Bombyx mori: one gene and its partners. The protein of the gene in region 2 binds, or shares a complex with, the protein of the main gene of each other region. Links are inferred from orthologs where the notes say so. Each region holds a gene or a part of one and is shown on either strand. Other genes may lie near its edges.

What was found. Proteins that work in one complex are often made in the same cells at the same time.
Region 1: the proteins of protein unc-80 homolog (region 2) and sodium leak channel NALCN are in contact, whole or in part, in a cryo-EM structure (PDB 7SX3), measured with the Homo sapiens proteins. The link is inferred for Bombyx mori from reciprocal best matches to the Homo sapiens genes UNC80 and NALCN. Residues at the interface, in NP_115893.1 of Homo sapiens: Lys1979, Asn2004, Glu2005, Cys2006, Asp2007, Leu2128, Arg2129, Leu2130, Pro2131, Pro2134, Arg2135, Ile2138, Asp2139, Phe2142, Phe2145, Ser2146, Glu2179, Asp2184, Glu2185, Met2187, Leu2188, Asn2191, Asn2194, Ile2198, Leu2199, Glu2202, Ser2226, Leu2227, Ser2228, Gln2231; in NP_001337678.1 of Homo sapiens: Asn639, Met643, Val644, Ile646, Lys648, Leu649, Pro650, Phe653, Val655, Pro656, Lys657, Ile658, Arg659, Glu660, Phe662, Met663, Lys664, Gln665, Phe666, Ile667, Arg669, Val711, Ser713, Arg715, Ala716, Arg717, Leu719, Lys722, Glu723, Ala725.
Region 3: the proteins of protein unc-80 homolog (region 2) and protein unc-79 homolog are in contact, whole or in part, in a cryo-EM structure (PDB 7W7G), measured with the Mus musculus proteins. The link is inferred for Bombyx mori from reciprocal best matches to the Homo sapiens genes UNC80 and UNC79. Residues at the interface, in NP_780719.2 of Mus musculus: Gln23, Thr24, Trp27, Ser31, Leu34, Arg35, Pro36, Ala80, Pro83, His84, His87, Ser94, Asn95, Asn180, Ala183, Leu187, Phe190, Leu191, Arg337, Leu340, Gln341, Pro342, His343, Arg1317, Asp1320, Glu1321, Asp1324, His1545, Val1546, Asp1547; in XP_030102533.1 of Mus musculus: Thr120, Tyr123, Ser127, Ala130, Thr131, Leu168, Ser169, Ser172, Met175, Ile176, Gln179, Tyr180, Tyr207, Tyr211, Gly212, Pro213, Ser214, Val390, Cys391, Glu394, Glu402, Phe405, Arg472, Cys541, Asp917, Phe920, Ser965, Glu966, Phe967, Ser968.

Annotation. Positions count from the first base shown.
Region 1 is NC_085110.1:9,105,455-9,109,106, forward strand, and holds part of sodium leak channel NALCN, read right to left. Parts: intron 3,615-3,652; coding exon 3,408-3,614; intron 2,921-3,407; coding exon 2,688-2,920; intron 2,482-2,687; coding exon 2,359-2,481; intron 2,282-2,358; coding exon 2,066-2,281; intron 1,738-2,065; coding exon 1,558-1,737; intron 1,051-1,557; coding exon 930-1,050; intron 31-929; coding exon 1-30. UniProt on the Homo sapiens protein: Voltage-gated ion channel responsible for the resting Na(+) permeability that controls neuronal excitability. NALCN channel functions as a multi-protein complex, which consists at least of NALCN, NALF1, UNC79 and UNC80.
Region 2 is NC_085112.1:7,810,039-7,814,158, reverse strand, and holds the start of protein unc-80 homolog, read left to right. Parts: upstream 1-1,192; 5' UTR 1,193-1,686; intron 1,687-1,982; 5' UTR 1,983-1,983; coding exon 1,984-2,121; intron 2,122-2,483; coding exon 2,484-2,510; intron 2,511-4,120. UniProt on the Homo sapiens protein: Auxiliary subunit of the NALCN sodium channel complex, a voltage-gated ion channel responsible for the resting Na(+) permeability that controls neuronal excitability.
Region 3 is NC_085113.1:1,066,902-1,070,553, forward strand, and holds part of protein unc-79 homolog, read right to left. Parts: intron 1,977-3,652; coding exon 1,835-1,976; intron 1,547-1,834; coding exon 1,328-1,546; intron 1-1,327. UniProt on the Homo sapiens protein: Auxiliary subunit of the NALCN sodium channel complex, a voltage-gated ion channel responsible for the resting Na(+) permeability that controls neuronal excitability.

The DNA of each region.
Region 1 (3,652 bases), on a different chromosome or scaffold from region 2:
CATGAAAATCACGAAGCCGTATTCTGCAATCTGCAAAGATTTAATGTTCAATAAATTAATTATTATTAGTCGAATTACTTACCTAATGAATGAAAATATTTTATTTTTATGAGATTATTTTCTCGGAACTATAGTAGTACATTGTGCACCAAGGGAGAAAAGTTCGACATTTCCTGAGATGTCCTACTTTATTCCCACGGTGCACATACTATTTTTTCTCCTACCAGGCCGAAAGTTCGACATTGTAAAAAACTTAGCACCCGTGGTGTACCGAGCCGGGGTCAAGGGGCGAAGCCCTGGTGGCGTCCTGGGGCGTAGGCCTGGCGGGGTGTTGGGGGGGGTGCGGAGCCCCCCATACTCATAAAAAAAACAATTTAACTGTTTTTAAATAAACTACTACTAATTGAATAAGAACTGTCTGATGAACTCATCTTTGTTTAATACAATACTTCACTATTAAATTTTACTGCCTTTTGTTTATTTCACTTTTACACTAAACACAATATTGCAAATTACCCGAGCACAACAATGGCGGAGAATTTACGCGCATGCGCACTTCTCAGTACCCAGGGAGAAAAAGTTAGACTTTCTTCAGTTTTTTCCCTGTACAGCGGGACGAAAACCGAACTTTCGGCGTCGGTAGGAGAAAAAACTTATTGTTTATTCGTATTTATTTCTAGATAATTGTTACAGCAAATTTACCAGGACAGTAATTGCACTATATCGAGGGGTGAAAAGCTAATTTGTTTAAGCGACAGTTTTGCAATTTTACAGGAAAGCCTTAAAGCATAACAAAAAACTTCAGTTATTTGTAAACTCTCAATCGAAGTTTAATTAAAAACAAATTGCTGATGCTAATACCAAATTATTCAATCGATGGCTAAGAAGTTTCACTTAATTAATCGTACCAGTTTCCCAATGAAACTCACTTGTAAAACGAAGTTTTCCATGACTCTGTACGTGGGTGTTTCGAACATCATAGATAAACACGACAACGTCGTCACCATGATCATTACCCAATCCATGTAAGTTACTAAGCCGAGGAAATTACTGAAATTATAACAAGGTATTATAGATAGGAAATGTGTTTGTTTGTATTGCCTTTTTTTCACACGCCAGCGGAGTTAGAATCGACATGGTCTTATGCAAAGTAGTGGTTTTTAACAGGCCTGACATATTAAGCTATTTAGTTATTATTTTTTGACAATTTGATTTCTTACTTCATTCATTTCATACTCTAGTTTTGCCTGAAATCAATTATTTATATTTCACTAATTTAAATGAACGGTTCAGTACATTTTTCTTCTCTCGGTTTCAATTTCAATTTAGTTTCAATAAAAAATGATTGTCAACAGTTTTTGCCTATTGCTCCAAAGACAATTTTCTATAACAAAATGAAACAGAAAATAAATATAAATCTTGAGATCTCAATGATTAGGGTCGATTTTCGACAACTGTGTGTACTCTAGTTATTATGACAAACAGACTTTCTACTGTGGAATTTTTTTGTATAATATGGTCTCTCAAATTAATCGAAAAGTCATTATCGACACTTACTGAAAACTTTTGTAGTGCACTTTCCTTTCATTGCCAGTAATTGGATCTCGAAGTCTCGCGTCATACCGTGCGTCGACAATGGCTCGACAAATCTTTCGAAATCGTGACTCTCTAGGCACTATTAGCAGCGGCGTATCAAACAACGGGTGATTTTCGCGGAGGTCTTCTTCACGTTGATTTCTGGAATATATTGTTTAATTTAAAAAATGATCTAATTTAAGAAATGTCTGTTTCCTGAGCAGTCGTAGATACTTTGACTGGTGGTAGGACCTCTTGTGAGGCCGCACGGGTAGGTACCACCACCCCGCCTATTTCTGCCGTGAAGCGGTAATGCGTTTCGGTTTGAAAGGTGGGGCAGCCGTTGTAACTATACTGAGACCTTAGAACTTATATCTCAAGGTGGGTGGCGCATTTACTTTGTATATGTCTATGGGCTCCAGGAACCACTTAACACCAGGTGGGCTGTGAGCTAGTCTACCCAACTAAGCAATAAAAAAAAAGTAGGTACCGTCGCATTTCGGCCTGTTGCCTCTTGGCTTGCAGCAAGCGGATGTCGAGGTATGGCGGGCGCGCTCGCGACGAGGGCACGACGCGCGACGCGGCGCCGATGTCGCCGTTCTCTAACAAATGCTCATAGGTCTGCTTCAACTTGATGGATCCGCTTCGGACCGACCGTCTTATCGAACGCGAGCCGAACCTACGCAGTAAGTTTTCCAATTTTACTCTACAAATACACAATAAAACAAATTTGTAAAATCATAACACGCAAACATATTTATTAATGTGACCTTCGAGGCTTACTTTTTTTGATCGACGCGAAGTTGTTTCGCACTGGATATAGTGCCTTGAGGTTTCAGACCTGACTTCCCTCCGGTCGCTAACATTGCAGAGTCTCCCAGTAGCGGTCGGTGATTATTGGAGTCCCTAAAATTAAAGTCGGATTGGAGCATTGTTTTCAAATAAATATACAGCAAAAATTAAAAAACAAAAAAGCTAAAAACCTTTTTTTAAATAATACTCGGAACGAAAACTAAATCTGCAAAAAAAAAAAGAAAATCAAAATATAATAAACCGATGACGGCATAAAGCTAAAAATCGAAAATAAGTTAACATCAAAGAAATCGACGAACTCTATAATGGAGGTGACGACGTGTCTCCGCAGCGCCGAGCTGGGTCGCTGCGAGGGCGGCGCCACCACCAGCGTCTTGACGAGGCAGCGCTTGCGGTACGGGAAGGCGATCTTGGCGACGCTGATGTACTCGAAGGTGCGGCGGGACAGGTCCGCGCCCCCCGGCCCCGCGCCCCCCGCCTCCTCCTCGCCCTCCACCTCGCACACGAACTGCCGCATGAACGACTCTCGCACCTGGAAACGACACGACGACTCTGCTATTTATATTTCTGTATCAAAGAACAAGCCACGATTCACTCGATATTGAGTAGTACATAAAGCCCACATACTAGATACGAATACCTGATTCAATACATTACAGGATGCTATTTCCTTGGCAATCGTTTGTCAACACGTACTAGTTACTATTACACCGGGCGTTTTACTGATTAAGTCACGGACTCGTCTACTGAACTATTACTACCAATCTGATTTAGCGCCCATTAGAGTTCTACGCTCCCCTTAATTTCCTTCGTGGCTGTCCACATAATTCCTTTTCAGTAACCATACTAAAAATTGTTGAAAACATTTCGACTTTCCCTAATACCTATTATATATTTACATTTTGAAGGGCTATCAGGGTTAACAGTAGACAGCTGGTCAAAAACAAACCCAAAACAAATATGCCGTGGGAATAGGGTGAGAAAATTTTATAATGTCCGATAATATATAAACTGTTTACCTTTGGTAAATTAAAATCCCCAGGGACTTTGTGTAGCTTCGTCATCTGCGGACTGTCGGGGAACTTTTCGAATATTCTCAATCTAAACGGCAGGCTCTCTTTGATTTCGGCGCTCTGCTGTCGGTACTTTAATTGTTTTAACTTCTTTATGTCCTCGTCCAGCTCGAGATTGTCTAAAATGACGGCAACGAAGAGCGAAAGTACAATCTGCAATTTAATCACGGTTTTTTGGAAACGCGTTTTAT
Region 2 (4,120 bases):
CTATTTCTGCCGTGAAGCAGTAATGTAAAAACGGAGACCTTAGAACTCATATCTCAAGGTAGATGGCAGCATTTACGTTGAAGACGTCTATGAGCTCCGGTAACCACTTAACATCAGGTGGGCCGTAAGCTCTTCTACCCACCTAAGCAATGAAAAAAAATAGTTTACGGGAAATGAAACTTACCTGGTTAATTTTTAGATAAAAGATAAGTTTAGGTTTCTTCATTAAACCTGTTAGTAATTGTTATCGATTGAATAGAAACGCGTTGTATGCGGTCACTACCATAAAAAGAACAACATTTATCTATTAACGTCGTAACGTGTGCCACCACACCCTTAGTCTATTTACAAATTGGCTGTTAGTGTGAATGCTGATAATTATTACGATTCTGTTAAGTTAATTAAGATTCTTTGTATATACTATTGCAAAATACATACAGATTTGTGAGTAAATTAATTAAACTCTTTTTGACTTCTTCTAAAAGATAACTTCAACATAGAGTAACCAAGCTCAACAGTTTTGCCAAATCATATTCCTTTTTCGGTTTCCATGGTCCAAAAGATTTTATCCAAAAATTATGTAAAAATGTATTTTAATTGGCGGAAATGAGCGGATAAGCTCGTGAGCACAGCGTGAATATCACCCTCCTTGACACATGGGATCGAAATCTGAATTGCATCTAACTATTATCCACACTAACCTTCCAACGAGAACAGACAATTGGCTCGCCGTAGAAATAGAGAAAGCCTTTTAAAAGAGAGAAAAACAGATACAGGAATGGCGAGAGATTTAAAAAGAAAAATAGCTAAGGAATATATTATTACTCTCACACATCAATACTGGTATACTTTCACGTGTTTTTTACTTTCAATGATTTCATTATTAAGAAAGTTGCAGTTTTCAACTCAGTTCAGTAAATTAAAAAAAAAACGTTTTTTTTTTATGAAACCGTTATATCTATAAGGACCTATTGTTATGTGTATAATACACTGCTTTAATGCGTATTTTTCAAGGCTACATAGATCATTTATTTGAGAGAAAATTGTAATAACATTTAAGTACAAAACAAATGTAAGTTGCCATACAAATAAACGACAAGTACCTAAATAATCATTCCAAAACTTCTAGACTTAAAATAATATAGAAGCTGTGTACTCTGTGTCAGACATTTTGTCGTTACCATGGCAATCGGAGGCTGCCTCTTATTCAGAACCAGCGATCAATGTTTAATAAGGTTGCCTCATATATAACGAAACAAAATTATTAAGTTAAGTAAAATTTTCAAAAGATCTCCTTACTTCTTAGCATTCTGTGTAAAATATGCTATTATTGTATATAACAAATGAAAAACATCAAAAATTAAGACGTATTTACATAATACAACGAAAAATACAAAACAAAATCTTAAAACTAGTATCCAAAACGAAGTAAATCAACATTTATTTGTGTTTAAATAAAATTACTAAAAGAATCCACCAATATTTACTTAACATCGACAGCCCTGAATCTCGGCTCGACCTGAATGCGCAAAGGCTCACTCTCCGTCGAGCTTCCCTCCGGAAAAGTGCGCGTTTTCCCTCCGTCATCCGTCATAGCTGTACCTCAATATACTTTTGTTTCCAACCCCAGCCTTTAACGTAAACAGTGCTCTTCAAACAATATGACCACTAATGACAAATACATAGGTACGTTTTACAGATCTTATGTACTTAGTTATAAATACTTATCGAAAAGTGGTTTTGTCAATAATTTAAATTTAAGCTCTGTTTTATTTTGTATTTATTAATAAATTTATATTTTTCTAAATATATTTACTACTTGGAACATTAATTATTAATTTGAACCTGAGATAAAACTTTAACTGCGCAATAGACTTATTCGTATTTGACCTGTAAAAATCAACCCCTAAAATATTAAAAATACGTTTTTTATACAATTACGCAAGTGCCAATTGTATTATTTATAAATATAATTTTATTAGAATGAAATCAAAAGATATGACAGAAGATGAGTGCAACGGTGAGGAGGTGATTCCCATACCAGTTCAAATATTTCTATGGAGACAGACCACACCTTTTGTTCGACCACGTCTTGGAAAATTACATGACTCTTCATGCATGGTAAGCAAATAAATTTAAAAAAACAAATCAGTTTTGATGTTTCAATTTTACAGTTTTTAAATTCAACAAGTAAGTAATAATGATTTCGTTAAATTCAATGAAAAAAATTAAAGAAAACAAAGCATTACAGACAACCTTACTTGATCAACGGCATTTGTAAATACGCAATGTTTTTGTTAATATTGTGAAATAATAATTTTAATGAACGTTTATTAGAACTAAGATTCGTATCCGCTTGTCGAGTGTCAGCAAGCTTGAGTCTGAATCAAAGTGCTACGAGCTAAATTACGTTCACATTTCTTTTTGTACTCGCACCCTGTTGTAATGTGTTAAATATAAATTACTTATTTGTTCGTAAACAGTTCTGTCAACGCGCTCCAGGACATCATGTAAGTTCACGTTATGCATAGATGTTCAATAATGCACGTTAGTTAATTAAATGATGAGATCTATGAGGGCTAGTGTTTTTATTACTATATTTTTTTTTACAAACAACGCTCACGTCTGCTTTTATTTTACCAGTAGCAGTATGTTAGCTCTCCATCTACTTGTAATACGTCACTGTTATTTAAGAAAACTCTGTTTAAGTTTGAGACTTAGGTACAGTATAGTGGTTCTGCGGGCTAGATAATTGTTCTAGGCCGTGTTCTTCCACCGCGTTTCTGCTTTTTTTTTTTATTGCCTTGATGGGTGAACGAGCTCACAGCCCACCTGGTGTTAAGTAGTTACTGGAGCCCATAGACATCTACAACGTAAATGCGCCACTCACCTTGAGATATAAGTTCTAAGGTCTCAGTATAATTACAACGGCTGCCCCACCCTTCAAACCGAAACGCATTACTGCTTCGCGGCAGAAATAGGCAGGGTGGTGGTACCTACCCGTGCGGACTCACAAGAGGTCCTACCACCAGTAACAACGCAAATTATAATTTAGCGGATTTGATTTTTATTACACGATGTTATTCCTTCACCGTGAAAGTCAATCGTGAACATTTGTTGAGTACGTATTTCATTAGAAAAATTGGTACCCGCCTCGGATTCGAACACCGATGTATCGTTCAACACGAATGCACCGGACGTCTTATCCTTTAGGCCATGACGACTTCCAACGACCACAACTTCCACGACTGCTTTCATTTTTGCTATTGGTTTGCTTGACTATGCTATAGGTATTTTCGGAACTTTTATCTTATCCTTAATCTTAATCCATCAGTAGCATAGACAATGGTTGCAATTAACGGTAGCACATTCAATGGCGCATTAACACCTTACTGTGTATATAGGTACGAAGAAATTTCGATGTTTGTGAAACAAACGTTCTTTTGTTTTTTTTTTAAAGTAAAATAATTGGCAGTCGCTCTAGATGTCCCCTAACCTAACAAAGGTGGCGTCAAAAACGTCAAGCTACTTATATTGTCTGAATTGTTTTGTCATACTTAGGTAGACGGCCCATCTAGTGATTAGTGGTTACCGAATCCAATATACGCTATAATGATAACTACCATGAGTCTTGAAATTGAACTGTTGAAGTTTCAATTCAGTTGCAGTAAGCTTAAATTAAATTACTAAAACATACTCATGATTAAACTTACTCTGCTATTCTCGAACATATCGACGCTTGAAAGGCAAACGTGACTAAACGACAATAACTGCTTTATACATAAATGATAGGCAATAACCATATTCAATGCGCAAAAAAAATATATTTCTAGGTCTATTTAAATCATTTCAATCCTACAGCTAGATTCGTTTAAATTTTTTTTTTTCAGGTATTTCAACTTTAAATTAGTCTACTGTAAAGTTCACGCATTGTCGCTTAGTCACGTTTGCCTTTCAAGCGTCGATATTTTCAACGTTACCTCACCTAGTAGATAACTTCACTTTTGGTTCGTTATGTACTTAGTATTTATCATTATGAATCTGCACATGTATAGTTAGCATTTTGTTGCCTAAATAAAAACACAGTTTAACGCATCTGTACTTAGTGGTACCTTTTTTA
Region 3 (3,652 bases), on a different chromosome or scaffold from region 2:
AAGTGTTCCCTTACTGAATGCACGCGTACCGCCACAAATAGAGAAAGATGGAGAAGTCTCTCAAAAGCCGCAACCAAACATTAAGACATACGTAACCACGACCACTCGCCAGGAGTGTACGACTGAGAAGAAGTATAATAAATGACTATTTTAAATTTTAAATATAAAATCACTTTTACGTTTTAATGACACGTTTATCATTTTCCATTTTACTTTTTCCGACCTGCTGAATTATTTACGTTTATCATAAAGTCTACTAAAAATAATAAAAGCGAAATTGAATCGTTAAATCGGTAAATTAGTTTTAATTAAGTTTATACATACGGTGCTATAAATTAACTATGCATTTTTTGTTAAAACTGAACTGAGTATGAGAAAATATATTTTTTAATAGTTATCAGTGAGATGTTTGCTTTTACTGATTTTACTGAAGTTTAAATTTTTTGTTTAAATGTTATCGTTTTTATTTCTTTAGTCTAGCAGAAATATATAAGAACTATATATAATAAGATGTTGAATTTTCCATCATTTCTCCTGAAAAATCACATAATTTGCCTAAGTGACGTTATCGCACCGTATGTGCGATATGATGATGTATGATTTCATACTTTTTTTTTCGTAACTCTAGTCAAATATAAAATACTAGCGACCCGCCCTCGCTTCGCTTCGGAAACATTAAAACACACATGAAACCAAAAAAAAAAAATAAAAAAAAAATTAAAAAAGTAGCCTATGTTCATCAGGGTCAATGTCGGCTTCTAATGGAAAAAGAATTTTTCAAATCGGTCCAGTAGTTTCGGAGCCTATTCGAAACAAACAAACAAACAAATCTTTCCTCTTTATAATATTAGTATAGAAGTACATAGTTCGATTTTCTCGTCTGCTTTACAAACCAATTACGTCTCTTTGTTTAGGAAGTTTTATGTCATTAAATGGTTTCTTGAATTTTTATTTGAAACTAGTTGACCCGGCAGACTTCGTATTGCCTCAACCAATAAATAAAAAATACAAACTTAAAACAAACAAAACGAATCCGTCCGACGGGGGACACATGAAAGGAAAAACAAAATTGTTATTTTTATTTAATTCCGGGCAATTTCATATTTATTTACCTTGTAAACTTTCTCTGGACTTCCACAAAGAATTATTCAAAATCAAAATTAGCCAAATCGGTCCAGCCGTTCTCGAGTTTTAGCGAGACTAACGAACAGCAATTCATTTATATATATATAAATAGATAGAAGATATCAATAACAAAAGTAAAGAGAAAATGTAGTTATTACATGAAAAAAAAAACAGTATTAGGAAGGGTATCAGTGGTACTGACCAGCTTCGAGGAATGAGCGAGGTGCAACAATGCCGGCAGAAGTTTACACCAGAAGTCGAGCAGCGCATCGGCAGCTCCCAGCTGCTCCAGATAGAGCGTCCACAGCTGGCACAGACACAGCGCCTGACACAGCGCGCTCAACCGGGGCCCGCCGCGAGACTCCGCACGGGACTCACGCGGCTCTACGCGGGACGACTCCGCGTACCAGGACAGAATAGTCTGCACCGGAAGGTTTTTTTAAGGATTGAAGGATACTGGTGGCCTGGAGGCCTTTCCAGTTTCACCAGGACAGTTTTTCAAACCCACCTGGTGTTTAGTGGTTATTGCAGCCCAAAGACATTTAGGTACAACGCAAATACGCCACCCACCTTGAGATATAAGTTCTAAGGTCTCAGTACAGTTACAACGGCTACCCCACCCTTCAAGCCGAAACACATTACTACTTCACGGCAGAAATAGGCGGAGTGGTGGTACCTCACAAGAGGTCCTACCGCCAGTAATGGTTACCTGGATGTGGTCAGTGAGATGGCAGGTGGCGTCGCACGGTATGGTGACCTGCAGTGGCTGCGACCGACTGTTGCTTAGCGCGCCGGCGAGCAGCCACGACACCAGCCTCACCCGGGACACACACTCGCACACGTCGCGGGAACTGAACGTGATACAATTAGATTTGTCTGAATACAATTATTCACTAGGTACAATTTTAGGTTTAGAATTTTTAATTATTCCTACGCGCTGGCGTCCGGGATGAATAAAATTCTACCGAATTACCAGTTATCACTGTATTCAACACTTAGAACACTGAAGCACTTCACAAACACTTTAAAACAGTCAACAAATACTTTAAAACTCTCAATTCGCTTGTTCAGCTTCGCTTCAGGTGATCTGTTCGCTGTTTCGCTTCGAGTATTTCCGATTACTGACTGTGTGCCATCTCTACAACACTTTTATAACCGATACTTCATCCCTAGAATTATGGAGAATATTCCACACATCTCTAGTAGTAGTTTCTGCTATCTGACAATAGATGGCGTTGTACTTCTCGAGCGTTCTAGATGCTACTAGATCCTTCGATATTCGTTCGACTATTCGACGATAGATGGTGCTACTCTTACCGGCGTAACGTTATTATAAAATACTAGCTGACTCGGCTAACGTTGTTTTGCCACATAGAAGAATTCGTTTCTAGAAAAAAAAAATTTTTAATGAACCGTCCTAAACATTTACGGGTATGAAAAATAAATTTTGAACGATTCTCAGATCTACCCGATATGCACACAAGCTTTCACGAGAATCGGTTGAACCATTTCGGATGAGTTTTGCAACAAACACCGTCACACGAGAATTTTATATATAATTGTAAACATCACTTACTTCATAAACACAAATAATAACTCCTTAAAATATATGATTATTTAGTATTTCTAAGGTTTTCATCAACTTTACTCAAATTCGTTGTAGATTTTATGATCCTTATGTATTATTAAAACTCAAAATTTAATGCTACCTGCGGTCATTGTCATTTTTTAAACATTATCATCATTTTTTAAACATTATTTAAGTAGGTAATAATTTCGATGAATTATAGCTACTCTTGAAAGCCTTGGTAAATGGCAGTTTGATTGCTAATCTAAATATAGATGTGTTTTCTAAATATAGTTAAAGCAAAATTTAAAAGTAGCTAAAATATAATATTTTTTTTATCATTATCCCATCATGCTGTTAAGTGCCATTTTGATTGTAATCTAATACATGTAACTAAACAAACGCTTGGTTTTTTTTTCCTAGCTAAGCTGATAGCCTTGAGAGGCTATTTCAGCTTCACCCTAACGTGTAGGTGAGCTCACGTGGCTCAAACCGGGAGTGCTGCTAACACTGGCTCTAGCAAGAGCAGTGCTTCGCAGAATCTACCACCAGATCAGAAACGCGACCCACTGAGAAGACCCGACTAGAAACTCAGTGGGCTGTGTCTATGGGTTAATTGTCGCAAGCGACGGGTTCGGCGACGATGGGACCGGTGCTTAAGGTACCTAAAAGCACCGTTAATGGATCGGGAAGATCCGTAATGACGTGTTTAGGGCGACGTCGACTGTTTACCATTTGATCTACAGGACCGATCCTGTCGATACCCGAGTATGAAAGGCTTGTGTTTTCCTCACTCTGTATCAGAATTTCCTAGATGTACATAACATATAAAAAGAAACATACTAGTATCGAAGCGGCTCGCTTACATGCACGGCAGTAAGCACAATGGCTTATCTAAGTTGTATTTGAGACAATAAGCAGTTATTGTGCGTACGTAGAAAAAGTAACCTAGTTACAAGC